3 linked regions of the Saccharomyces cerevisiae S288C genome follow. Changing the gene in region 2 together with the main gene of any one other region gives a genetic interaction. Each region holds a gene or a part of one and is shown on either strand. Other genes may lie near its edges. The genes, in order: BCY1, RAS2 and TPK2.

Region 1 (3,600 bases), on a different chromosome or scaffold from region 2:
TCGAATTGAGCATCAGACATTACGGTGGTGATTGTAGAGTTGGAGAGAGTTTTTGTATGTCACTTGATTGAACAGTTCTCCTTTATTTGTTACAAATGCTCTCATTTTTACGTTTTCCGTGGTGAAAAAAAAAAAAAAAAATGAACATATATACATGTAGTAACAGCAGTAGTAGATGAAGAATTTAGAGTTTAAACAGGTAACATAACGCTATAAGGGAAAGGAAAGTGGAGATGTTATACATTATATTTACGTAGACGTTGAAGGAAGAAGAAAGAAAAAGGGAACAGAAGAAGAAGAAAAAGAGAAAGGAAATTCATGTGGATTTAAGATCGCTTCCCCTTTTTACTTAATGTCTTGTAGGATCATTGAGCTTTAATACGTCTACTGCAGGACCCAGTAAACGTTGAAAACCACTTTTCCCCAATGTGGCAACTTTGGTTCTCTTTGTAGCAGTCACAGTGGCCTGTCTGGGCAAATCGTTTAGCAAGGCCACTTCACCGAAATAATCATGGTCTTTCAGTTTATTTATGACACCTTGGCCCTTCTTAGAGACGTCCACAGCTCCGTACTCAATTAAATAAAAGTTCTCCCCTTGATCACCCTCGCGAATGATTGTTTCACCCGGCTGGTAGATCTTGGTATCCAGTGCATCGGCAAGTTTGGCACGGTCGTACGTAGTCAAACTCTTCAAAACTGGCATGCTCTTCAAAAGATCGTCATACATGAGTCTCTTCTTGAAAGAGCTGCCCAAAAGTATTTTTCTGAAGGTGAGCCTGTCTAGAGCCCACAACAAACAGTCGGAGGTTGCTACAACGGTGGCAGCACGAGGGCTGTTGTACATAAGAGCAAGTTCCCCGAAACTGGAGCCTGGCCCGGAAGAGTTGACCTTGTTGTCGTTGACGTAGAAGTCAACAGTACCCTTTTCGACGACATAGAAGTAGTCCCCTTGGTCACCTTGCTTGATTATCGTAGCACCTTTGGGGACGGACTTCTCCTCCAGACAATTTATGACCAGCCTTTTTGAGTCGGAATCCAGCTTGTTGAACAGAAAGTTATTACGGATCGATTTTTCCAGTCTTTGCAATTGCTGCTCGGACTTTTCCTTATAGTGATCTGGAGTCCAATCGTCAAAATTGTTTGGTTGTAAGGTCTCACCACTAACAGAAGTACGCCTTTGGGCGTTGAAGTGCATTGGGAGTGGAGGAGTTGATGTCTTTTCTCTAGTATGCTGTTGTTCTTCCTGTGCTTGCTGGTGAGTGTCCTGTTCGTGCGGGTCTAAATTAAACCCACTTTTAAACACGTTGGAGTGTGGGTCCTCGTTCACAAAGGGGGATTTGAACATAACACTCGATCTGGATCTTGATTGAGATTGAGCTGATTGAGGTCTGGAAAATGACTCCTCTGGTTCCGGAAATAGAACAATGTTCTTTGCCTTAAATTCAGGCTCCCTGGCCTTGAGGAACGCTCTCTGTTGTTCCAGCCTTTTATTGAAATAGTTGGCGGAGAACTGAAGAAAGTCGGACGGATTAGCGGCGTTGATTTCGTTCTGGAACAGTTGCAATTCGGCTTGCGATTCCTTGGGCAAAGAAGATACCATCGTTTATTCTTACTGTTGTCTTTTGAAAATAATCTGCTTGTTGTAAATGATCTTCCTATTTATGTATGCGTGAAATGCGTGTAATGGATGTGATGATAGCGATCGCTTGACTTAGTCGAGGAAAGCGTAAAGTGTCCCTTTTTCTCTTTCCCTTTTCCCTGTTTGTTCAAATTTTCTCTTTTCTACCTTCCTCTTCGTTTTGCTCCTTGCCAGCAAAACGAGGAAGGACAAGAATTTTGGAGAGCGGCGGCGCGGCGCCATAATAAATGCACTTGAGCAAATGCAATAAGTTCAGCTTATGGCTTCTGCAACAAAGAAGAGGTCGGAATCCGAGCACAGTATAATCAATATATTATCAGGCAGAACAAAAGTGGCGGGTATAACACGAAGAAAGAAGGAAGGGTGGTGATTGGGTGCTTTGTTTTTTTCCGCTCGTCGTGGTGGCATGCGCTTTTTTTTTCTTGGGTGAAGATTAGCCGCCGAAGTCGTATGCTCCTCTTTTGAGCGTTTTGAAAGATAGAAAAAAGCTGAGTAAGTAAAATCGTCGGCGGCTAATCTGAAAAGTATATAAAGTCCTTTATATTTTCCACTCGTATTCTTTTCCCTCCTCCTTTTTTTTTTTACTTTCTCACGTATGGCTTGTTTCATTTATTATCAGATCAGTAATCACGTGCCGTGTCGTTAGAAATGACATTTGGTTCTTTGCCTTCTTTGTCCTTTTTCTATCTTCCTACTAAGAGAAACTATTATACAATACAATAAGAGAACATCGTGAAACAACATAAAAGATATCACGTCATCAGAGAGAGATAAAACATCACAACCAATTACATTACAGTGTATTCGTTTCTTCTTAGAGAGAGAAATAAAGAGCGGGATAAAAGGACACTACACAGTATACCCCATACCCAGGTGCAATAATACACGTATATCTATGTTTATTGCACATCAAACCCCACATATATGTCTGCCAGAAAACGCAAGTTTAATAGTCTCAAACCGCTAGACACCTTGAACAGCTCTCGTGCCAGCTCTCCAAGGTCCTCTGCTTCTCTACCGCCCAAAAGATATAACACTTTTCGTAAGGATCCGAAAATCGTTGATCATCTAAACAATGCTTCTACAAAGGATTTCTTACCAGTTTTGAGTATGAACAGCGAGAGTAAGAGGCAGATCGAATTGTCGGATAATGATGTTGATAATAATGATGAAGGTGAAGGCGTCAACAGTGGCTGTTCAGATCAAGATTTTGAACCTTTGCAAAGCTCTCCTTTGAAAAGACACTCATCACTCAAAAGCACTTCCAATGGTCTTTTGTTCCAAATGTCTAATAATCTGGGGAATGGTTCACCGGAACCGGCAGTAGCGAGCACTTCTCCAAATGGCTCAATTATTTCCACTAAACTAAATTTGAACGGCCAATTTTCTTGCGTTGATTCGAAAACATTGCGAATTTATCGGCATAAAGCACCATGCATAATGACTTTTGTCTCAGATCATAATCATCCGAAATTTTCATTGTATTTTCAACAATCGGTGATCTACAATTCACAAGTTAATCTGCTTGATGATGTTGAATTGATAATTTTAGATAAGAAGAACTCTTTTATGGCTATAATTTTAAAAGATCTGAAAAAGGTCAAGATGATACTAGACGTGAATAACTCTTCAATCAACATTAACACGAACATCTTGATATGGTCCACTGCAAGCTCCGCTTCAAATAAAAAAATAAAGTCTATTAAAAGATTCCTGTTGATGTCATATTCTTCGTCGATAAAAGTCGAAATTTTAGATCATAAAGAGCAGATTTTGGAAAGACTAAAACATCTGATTCATCCTATTTCTTCGTCATCACCTTCATTGAACATGGAAAGGGCAATAAACTCCACTAAAAATGCATTCGACTCTTTAAGACTTAAAAAAACTAAACTTTCTACTAATGATGATGAAAGTCCGCAAATTCATACTCATTTCTTATCAAACAAACCTCATGGTTT
Region 2 (4,493 bases):
CTCTGCTACCAGTAAAGCGTCTATATTCTTCGGATACACTGGCTAAGTTCCAACCCATTATTCTTCTGAGACATCCAATGACTGTCCCAGTCCTATGTCTTCCCATACCACAGCACACTAGCAAGGGATAATTCTCTTGAGTGACGATCGTTTGTAGTACATTAATTATAGAATGTTCAGTGAGACCGTCCCATGGATTATCGTCCTCACCGGCATCCGGGTTGATGGCTGCGAATTGTAAGTTTATTCTATGAGTATCACAAAACTCTAGGAGGGTATCTTGAGGTTCTTCGTTAGACAGCCATATAATTGTTTTCAGTTTTAGGTTTAGTAAAAAGGGGAAATTCACAGGTGAAGGCTGACCAGATCTATAGAGGTATCTTTCAACGGGACAGAAATTCAAAGGTGGAACGATACGTTCTTGTGGGGCATGTGATACCAAGACCTTTTCGCGACCAGATTCTGTTTCTTCATTGATATATATATGATCATCATCGTCGTCTTCTTCCTCGTCTTCGTCTTCTACTTCTTCTTCAGGTACGGATACGTTCTCTTCTGTGAGGCGGGACTCATCCTCTGGAACGTCCTCATATTCACCAACTTTAGATGTCATTCTAAGGGGAAAGAGAAGCTTGTTATTCCAGGTGGAACACCTCTTTCTTGTGAAAATGGATGTGATTGATGACTCTCTGCAATGTCCAATTTTATGTTATAGCGATGTTGTTTGTTTTTTCCTTTACCCGGCAACCATATGATATTGCCCAAAGTTTCCAATGTTAACAAGAATGAAACGGAAATAGCAAATGGCAATAAGCAATATAAAAACAGTCACTTTTTTATTTACTTTTGTATATATTTATAAATGTGTGTACTCGTTTCAACTTTATAGAGTTCTTTTCGTCTTAGCGTTTCTACAACTATTTCCTTTTTATTAACTTATAATACAACAGCCACCCGATCCGCTCTTGGAGGCTTCACTGGTGTTACCGCCGGGTGCAGCTTGCTGCTTCCTAGCCTGTTTAGCATTTGAAACTTGACCGGCCTTACTATTATTATTTACACGATTATTAACCGTATTAGCGCTTTGAGCGTTGGCCTGACCAGCTTGGCCCGTGGAATTGTCTATATTGGTGCGATCAGTTTGTGTCTTACCATTTGTCGCCTGGTTGCCTGCCAACCCTGTCTTACTCTCTATGCTTGCATTCCTGGCATTCACGACAGTTGTGCTACTGTTCACATTTTTACCGTTGGCAGCATTGCTCATCTTCCTGTGGCCACCGCTATTTCTAGGCACAGAGTTGGCACCGCTCCCTTTTGTATCTTGAGAAGTTTGCTTGGAGTTGTCATTTTCCGTCAAAGTCTTGTTGTACTTGCCGCCTTCGTCTCTAACTAAACGTGCTAGAGTGTAAAACGCCTCTTCCACGTTGATTGCTTGCTTAGCAGATGTCTCCAAGAAAGGAGCGTTCATTTGCTTTGCCATGTTCAACCCGTCCTGGTAAGAGACCTGTTTTTCGTTTTCTAAATCAGATTTGTTACCAACAACCACAATTGGAACATAGTCGGTATCTTTGACTCTCAATATCTGTTGATAGTAAGTCATAAGCTCATCAAGAGACGACTTGGACGTTATAGAGTAAACCAATAGGAATCCTTCGCCGTTGCGCATGTATTGTTCCCTCATAGCAGAGTATTCTTCCTGCCCTGCAGTATCCAAAATGTCCAATATAGACACTTCATCATCAATCACCACTTGCTTCCTGTATGAATCCTCAATTGTGGGATCGTATTCATCTACAAAGTGCGATTGGGTCAATTGTATGGTCAAAGCAGATTTACCAACACCACCACCACCAACGACGACTAGCTTGTACTCTCTTATGTTCGACTTGTTCAAAGGCATTTTTTTTTCTGTATATCTCCTTTCAATTCGAAAACGGTTAACTTGGTTTTTTTATCCGTAATTCTCTCGTATCTTTCTGCTCAAGTAATTTTCTCCTAGTTGATTAATATAGTGCAGAAGAGTCAGATAAAGAGTGGATGAATAAAATGGAAAAAAAACAAAAGCCGGATTGCGTTACGCTTGAAATGAGCGATTCTAGGCGATAAGAGAAGACAACGGCTAAAACTTAAGATGTTGGGGTACTATAAATGTTTACCCAGATTTTCGGTAGAAATGTTTGCTGATGTGAACCTTGTTTCCCGTTTTCCCAGATCCCCTTATTCCAGCTTTGTTTCGTCTTTGCTGTCATGTTCCGTTTAATTTCTGAAGGCCTGCCTAGCTTCACCGTCCTAAATGTCACGCTCCAGGCAGAGACATGGCGCAGGGGCGAGGCCAGGGGCAAAGGGGTCAGGCAGGAACCTCCAAGGGGGGCGAGGTGAATGAAAAGGTCCTTCTGAATAAAAAGCCTAAGCGATTAGCCACACCACCCACTGTACGGCGATTAGACTGAGCTGCTGGCGCTGCTACGCCGTGACAAGTCATTTCATCATTTATTACGTTTTATCGTGCCGTCATCACCATCGATTTGAATATTTTATCTAGACCGGTAGGGCCCAAGTATCTTGCAGATCCATTGATACGGCCACGCCCGTTAAAACGCTAAGATATATATATATGTAGCTAAGATATATATATATGTATATATTCGGTATTTAGTAGATATTTCCTTAAGGCGATATTCGCCCGAGAGCTATTTCACAGTTTTTTTTTGCAGTCGTCGCAATACCACTTGCCCTTAGGTAGAGTTTCGAGTCCAATACATGGCAAATGGAACCATTCTAGCTCACAGTCTGCGCCATCACACCCCACCATTTCCCCGTATGCCACTTGGTTACAGTAGCAGTAGAGCGGTTCGCCGTAGTCGTTGGTTTTTGGTCTTGATATCCTGCTGTTGTTGCTGTTTCCGACGCTGCTAACTCCCCTGGACGCTGTAGATGTACCTATCCTGCCATTATTGACGGCAGTTGCCGTGCTGATAGTGCTTGGTGAAACGGCTGTGGTGGCAACTCTCCTCTTGCGTTTTTTGGTCTCTGGATCGGCGTTGTTGGTATTGGCAGCGTTGGCTCTTTTTCTTGAGTTTGTGTTGTTACCAGTGTGGTCTTGGCTCTCGTGCCTGCTGCCTCCGTAGTTTGCGTCGTTCTTTGAGTCGTCTTGTTGGTGTGTGCTGGCGGAGTAATGTTCGCCCTGCCTCCTGTTGGCAGCCATGGCTTCTCTTCTTGATTCGCTCTTCAGTGCCTGCGACGATTTGCTGTTTGATTTGCTCTCTATTTTTTCCATTAGTTCATGATGGAGGTGCATTGCTGGATGGTTGTCCACACCCAGTCTTAAACCTCTAGGAATTTCTGTGTTCTTGATTGCGACTTCATACGCCAATTCTAACCGGGACGTCAATCTGTCTAGATTATCCAGCATAATGGATGAGACATGCATTTTCTCCTCCAGCGATGGCATCAGTTCTTCATAAATCTTGTTGATATTATTGAGCAGTCTTACTTGTGTTTGGTGATCTTTATTGAAGTCTTTCTTCAAGAACTTATCTATCCTCTCGTTCAAATTCGGCATAGAATGCACACATTTTGCATCTATTTCGTGTAGTAATGTTAAATATCTGGAGGTGGCCAGTGGGAATTCCTCCAGCACGTCAGTTATGTCGTTTAATCCAGGGAATAGGTTCGCTGGTGAACTCATTTGTACGTATTTCAGACTATGAACGTGGTTGCTGTTTGTGATACTGCAAGACTACAAACTTTTCTCCTTCCGGGTTCGTCCTGTTGTAAACGCCTAACTCTTTTCCTTAGGCTCCTTTTTCGTTTTTTCCCTAGCTCTTTCTTTCTTCTTCATGTGCATGCACTCTTTCCTACATATTTTTTTTTCAAGGGCATTTTTAACTTTCTTCGGAAATCGTCTAAGAATTGTAAACTATAATTGCAAATACGCGATTAGCTCTATCTAGAATACCGAAAAAAAGGTTTGCCACTCACAATTGGACGTGCCTCAATTATTTCAAGTATACGTCATTTGGGCTTTTGACTTGTAAAATATACTCAAATGAAATTCTGATTATACAAAGTTGAAACACGTAACACGCCATGTCAAGGTACGCGTAGAGGTAAGCAGATAATGCATGGACAATGTGCTGGGCGAAGAGGCGGATCTAATTACACATACTTGGGATCATCTAAGATTTCAGATGGTTATGTTAATGCTCACTTGTTCCACGCCTTTTTCCTTTCCTTCAGATAAGTAATCCGCATATCAATGTGAAAGAACTAACGGTTGTTGATGGACGTATCGTTGTCTAGCGATAAATAATGCTTTTTCTTCAACAAATAAGTGGTTGTTTGGCCGAGCGGTCTAAGGCGCCTGATTCAAGAAATATCTTGACCGCAGTTAACTGTGGGAATACTCAGGTATCGTAAGATGCAAGAGTTCGAATCTCTTAGCAACCATTATTTTTTTTCCTTTTTATCTGATTGCAGCGAGAACTTGGGAA
Region 3 (5,007 bases), on a different chromosome or scaffold from region 2:
GCTGGAATCGATCAGGTCCAGACATCCTCAATTGGACTATGAGTCCCGCGTCTACAGATACTTAAGCGGTGGTGTGGGAATCCCGTTCATCAGATGGTTTGGCAGAGAGGGTGAATATAATGCTATGGTCATCGATCTTCTAGGCCCATCTTTGGAAGATTTATTCAACTACTGTCACAGAAGGTTCTCCTTTAAGACGGTTATCATGCTGGCTTTGCAAATGTTTTGCCGTATTCAGTATATACATGGAAGGTCGTTCATTCATAGAGATATCAAACCAGACAACTTTTTAATGGGGGTAGGACGCCGTGGTAGCACCGTTCATGTTATTGATTTCGGTCTATCAAAGAAATACCGAGATTTCAACACACATCGTCATATTCCTTACAGGGAGAACAAGTCCTTGACAGGTACAGCTCGTTATGCAAGTGTCAATACGCATCTTGGAATAGAGCAAAGTAGAAGAGATGACTTAGAATCACTAGGTTATGTCTTGATCTATTTTTGTAAGGGTTCTTTGCCATGGCAGGGTTTGAAAGCAACCACCAAGAAACAAAAGTATGATCGTATCATGGAAAAGAAATTAAACGTTAGCGTGGAAACTCTATGTTCAGGTTTACCATTAGAGTTTCAAGAATATATGGCTTACTGTAAGAATTTGAAATTCGATGAGAAGCCAGATTATTTGTTCTTGGCAAGGCTGTTTAAAGATCTGAGTATTAAACTAGAGTATCACAACGACCACTTGTTCGATTGGACAATGTTGCGTTACACAAAGGCGATGGTGGAGAAGCAAAGGGACCTCCTCATCGAAAAAGGTGATTTGAACGCAAATAGCAATGCAGCAAGTGCAAGTAACAGCACAGACAACAAGTCTGAAACTTTCAACAAGATTAAACTGTTAGCCATGAAGAAATTCCCCACCCATTTCCACTATTACAAGAATGAAGACAAACATAATCCTTCACCAGAAGAGATCAAACAACAAACTATCTTGAATAATAATGCAGCCTCTTCTTTACCAGAGGAATTATTGAACGCACTAGATAAAGGTATGGAAAACTTGAGACAACAGCAGCCGCAGCAGCAGGTCCAAAGTTCGCAGCCACAACCACAGCCCCAACAGCTACAGCAGCAACCAAATGGCCAAAGACCAAATTATTATCCTGAACCGTTACTACAGCAGCAACAAAGAGATTCTCAGGAGCAACAGCAGCAAGTTCCGATGGCTACAACCAGGGCTACTCAGTATCCCCCACAAATAAACAGCAATAATTTTAATACTAATCAAGCATCTGTACCTCCACAAATGAGATCTAATCCACAACAGCCGCCTCAAGATAAACCAGCTGGCCAGTCAATTTGGTTGTAAGCAACATATATTGCTCAAAACGCACAAAAATAAACATATGTATATATAGACATACACACACACATATATATATATATATTATTATTATTATTTACATATACGTACACACAATTCCATATCGAGTTAATATATACAATTCTGGCCTTCTTACCTAAAAAGATGATAGCTAAAAGAACCACTTTTTTTATGCATTTTTTTCTTCGGGAAGGAAATTAAGGGGGAGCGGAGCACCTCTTGGCCAATTTGTTTTTTTTTTATGTAATAAAGGGCTAACGATCGAAGATCAATCACGAATATTGGACGGTTTTAAAGGAGGGCCTCTGAGAAGACAGCATCAATTCGTATTTTCGATAATTAACTTGCCTTATAGTGTCTGATTAGGAAACAATCACGAGACGATAACGACGGAATACCAAGGAAGTTTGTGCAAATATACAGCCGGCACAAACAGCAGCTTCACTCAGGTTAACTCACATACTGTTGAAAATTGTCGGTATGGAATTCGTTGCAGAAAGGGCTCAGCCAGTTGGTCAAACAATCCAGCAGCAAAATGTTAATACTTACGGGCAAGGCGTCCTACAACCGCATCATGATTTACAGCAGCGACAACAACAACAACAGCAGCGTCAGCATCAACAACTGCTGACGTCTCAGTTGCCCCAGAAATCTCTCGTATCCAAAGGCAAATATACACTACATGACTTCCAGATTATGAGAACGCTTGGTACTGGATCTTTTGGTAGGGTTCATTTGGTGCGCTCTGTTCACAATGGTCGGTATTATGCTATAAAAGTTTTAAAGAAACAACAAGTTGTCAAGATGAAACAGGTTGAACATACCAATGACGAACGACGTATGCTAAAGCTTGTGGAGCATCCGTTTCTGATTAGAATGTGGGGTACGTTTCAAGATGCTAGGAATATCTTTATGGTGATGGATTATATCGAAGGTGGTGAACTTTTCTCGTTACTGAGAAAGTCACAAAGATTTCCTAATCCTGTAGCAAAATTTTACGCTGCGGAAGTCATACTGGCATTAGAGTACTTGCATGCTCATAATATCATCTACAGGGATTTAAAGCCAGAAAATATCTTGCTGGATAGAAATGGCCACATTAAAATAACCGATTTTGGGTTCGCCAAAGAGGTACAAACTGTCACATGGACGCTTTGTGGGACTCCTGATTACATTGCTCCTGAAGTTATTACCACAAAGCCATATAATAAGTCGGTGGATTGGTGGTCTCTAGGTGTTCTAATCTACGAAATGTTAGCTGGTTATACACCCTTTTACGATACTACTCCAATGAAGACGTATGAAAAGATTTTACAAGGTAAAGTAGTATATCCACCATATTTTCATCCCGACGTCGTGGATCTACTAAGCAAACTGATCACTGCAGATTTGACAAGAAGAATCGGTAATTTACAAAGCGGTTCCAGGGACATCAAAGCTCACCCATGGTTTAGTGAAGTTGTATGGGAAAGATTGTTAGCAAAGGATATTGAAACTCCATACGAGCCTCCTATCACATCAGGTATCGGTGACACGTCTTTATTCGATCAATATCCCGAGGAGCAGCTAGATTATGGTATTCAAGGCGATGATCCATATGCTGAATACTTTCAAGATTTCTAAGTTCCATGAACCAAAAAACACAAAAACAATTTTCAAGTACTTTCTCTCACTCCTTTTCCTTTCTCTTTTTTCCTCCACCAAAATCTGGCGCACTTTCTTTATATTTTACCTAACGGATGCCTTATTTGTGGTCTGTTTTAAGCTAGTTCATATTGTAAAAAAAGAAAAAGAGATGAGAAGAACAAGCGTTGCCCTAAATATCTTCTATACTACAATTCATTTTAATTCAATATCATATTTAAGTTGAGGGCATTTAGATCTTAGAGATTCATCTAAAAATAGGAGGGGTGATGTATAGAAAATGTTCGAATATCATTCCTCTGCTTTTTTCTATATGATTATTTCCTATATGAGCTTTTACTTACTGATCTCATGATCTCAGTGCAAAAATTAGGGGACCGGCACGCCTGAAAGTTTTTTAGATAATTGAATGTTGCGGTGCATTACCTATGAAAAGATGAAGCGCACGTGAACCATATTATAATCAACAAACTTGAAGAATAAAACTTTTGAGCGCATGAAGCCATGATATATCTTATTTGTATCGACATGCTTTAAGTCCTCCGTAGCTTTAAAAAGTCTAAGGTCCAAAATCCCTCGATGGTGCTGATATCACCATTATTCATGTCCATCAGATCTTGTCACATATTTAAACGTGATACCGTTTTAATGAGTTGAAAACTAAATAATTAATATTTTGATATTAAGGCTGGGTCAATAGAATTTAATTCATTAAAATGCTCATCGTTGAAATGAAGCAACGCTTCGTAGTTGTAGTTTAACATGCCAAAATTTTCGTTTCTCTCTTTGCCTAAGTTCGTAGCAATATCTGTATCAGCAGTTGGTGCGTTGCTTTTGGTATCTTTGGAAACTTTAATGATCTCATCTCCATAAGGAGCGTCTGTTTCCATAAAATTTGGTGAAGATGTTGTTGATTCTGACAGGGCTATATCCATTTTGCTTTGTGACAAGGGCCTCGTTGGTGTTGAAGGAAGTATACAAGAAGAGGACGAAGGACCTGGTGTAGGTTCTGTCAAAAGTTCCATCAGGCCTTGGTTGTAATTTTGGATGAAATTGTCGTTGCAAAACATGTTCGTAAAATCAATTTCGTTTAAGTTCGTTAAAGAATCTTCTTTCTCTATCTTTACACAGGAATTCCGCGTTTTGAAATTGTCTAAAAATCCGGTATCATGTAGATCCGCATCCAACTTCGTTTTCAACCTTGGCCTAGGTTTCGAATTATCCATCTGTCTGGATTTTATTTTAGAAACGGAGTTTTTATTTGTTTTGAGCAAATTTTTTTTAGACGTCAAAGGGGGGTTTGATAGTGGGAGAAAAATGTTATTGAAAGCTTCAATTTCCTTGGTTAACCCACAGTCACAAGAAATAATTGGTGTGACGAGTGGTAAGTTTAGACTTGCTTTATATTCTAATTCATCAAATGTTTTGATGGCTTTTTCGTCGTTCTTCTGACGAAGATTTTCCTTAAACTTTTTATAGTCATCCGTTTTAGTAATCAAATCAAATCTCAGCTCATGTGAATGTATGTTATTCATAACAACCACGTTCCACTTCTGTAACCGCACAGAGTAGGCTGCTCTAATTCTAAATGGACATGCATGGGATCTTGAAGAGGAACCTTTGGATTTAGGGTTCAACCCTACTTTCGATCGTACTGACCTACACTTAAAAGTAACTTTGCTACTATCTGATCTTTCGATGACTATATCTATTCCTTGAGGATAGAATATTTTCTGTAGCCACGGTTTAATCTCGTGCCTGTCCTCAAAAGACGGAACTGGGTCTAAATGAATAAGTTTATTTTGGTCTTTAGACATCATAGATGCTAGATTATCGGGAGATGCTGTTAACTTCATTTTCCCTGTTTTAGACACTGATATTGGCACAGATATTATGCTCTTCATCGACTTTGCTTTCATTTCTTGGGGGTCGCTTTCTCTTGATTAATTTGCGCCAGAGTTTCTGGTCACTACAAC

What was found.
Region 1: of RAS2 (region 2) and BCY1, a mutation in one rescues a mutant of the other (synthetic rescue), as found in Saccharomyces cerevisiae (6 studies listed by BioGRID, with this or other methods).
Region 3: of RAS2 (region 2) and TPK2, extra expression of one rescues a mutant of the other (dosage rescue), as found in Saccharomyces cerevisiae (5 studies listed by BioGRID, with this or other methods).

Annotation. Positions count from the first base shown.
Region 1 is NC_001141.2:290,070-293,669, forward strand, and holds BCY1 (cAMP-dependent protein kinase regulatory subunit BCY1), read right to left. Parts: upstream 1,601-3,600; coding exon 350-1,600; downstream 1-349. Other genes in the region: CAP2 (F-actin-capping protein subunit beta), read right to left, coding at 1-20; SUMO protease ULP2, read left to right, coding at 2,564-3,600. UniProt on the Saccharomyces cerevisiae protein: Regulatory subunit of the cyclic AMP-dependent protein kinase (PKA), an effector of the Ras/cAMP pathway. Inhibits PKA activity in the absence of cAMP. cAMP activates PKA and promotes growth and proliferation in response to good nutrient conditions.
Region 2 is NC_001146.8:438,671-443,163, forward strand, and holds RAS2 (Ras family GTPase RAS2), read right to left. Parts: upstream 1,901-4,493; coding exon 932-1,900; downstream 1-931. Other genes in the region: putative tyrosine protein phosphatase OCA1, read right to left, coding at 1-613; PLS1 (Pls1p), read right to left, coding at 2,127-2,249; PHO23 (Pho23p), read right to left, coding at 2,696-3,688. UniProt on the Saccharomyces cerevisiae protein: The S.cerevisiae Ras proteins modulate the activity of the adenylate cyclase catalytic subunit and therefore affect the biosynthesis of cyclic-AMP.
Region 3 is NC_001148.4:164,389-169,395, forward strand, and holds TPK2 (cAMP-dependent protein kinase catalytic subunit TPK2), read left to right. Parts: upstream 1-1,867; coding exon 1,868-3,010; downstream 3,011-5,007. Other genes in the region: serine/threonine protein kinase HRR25, read left to right, coding at 1-1,372; AFT2 (Aft2p), read right to left, coding at 3,700-4,950.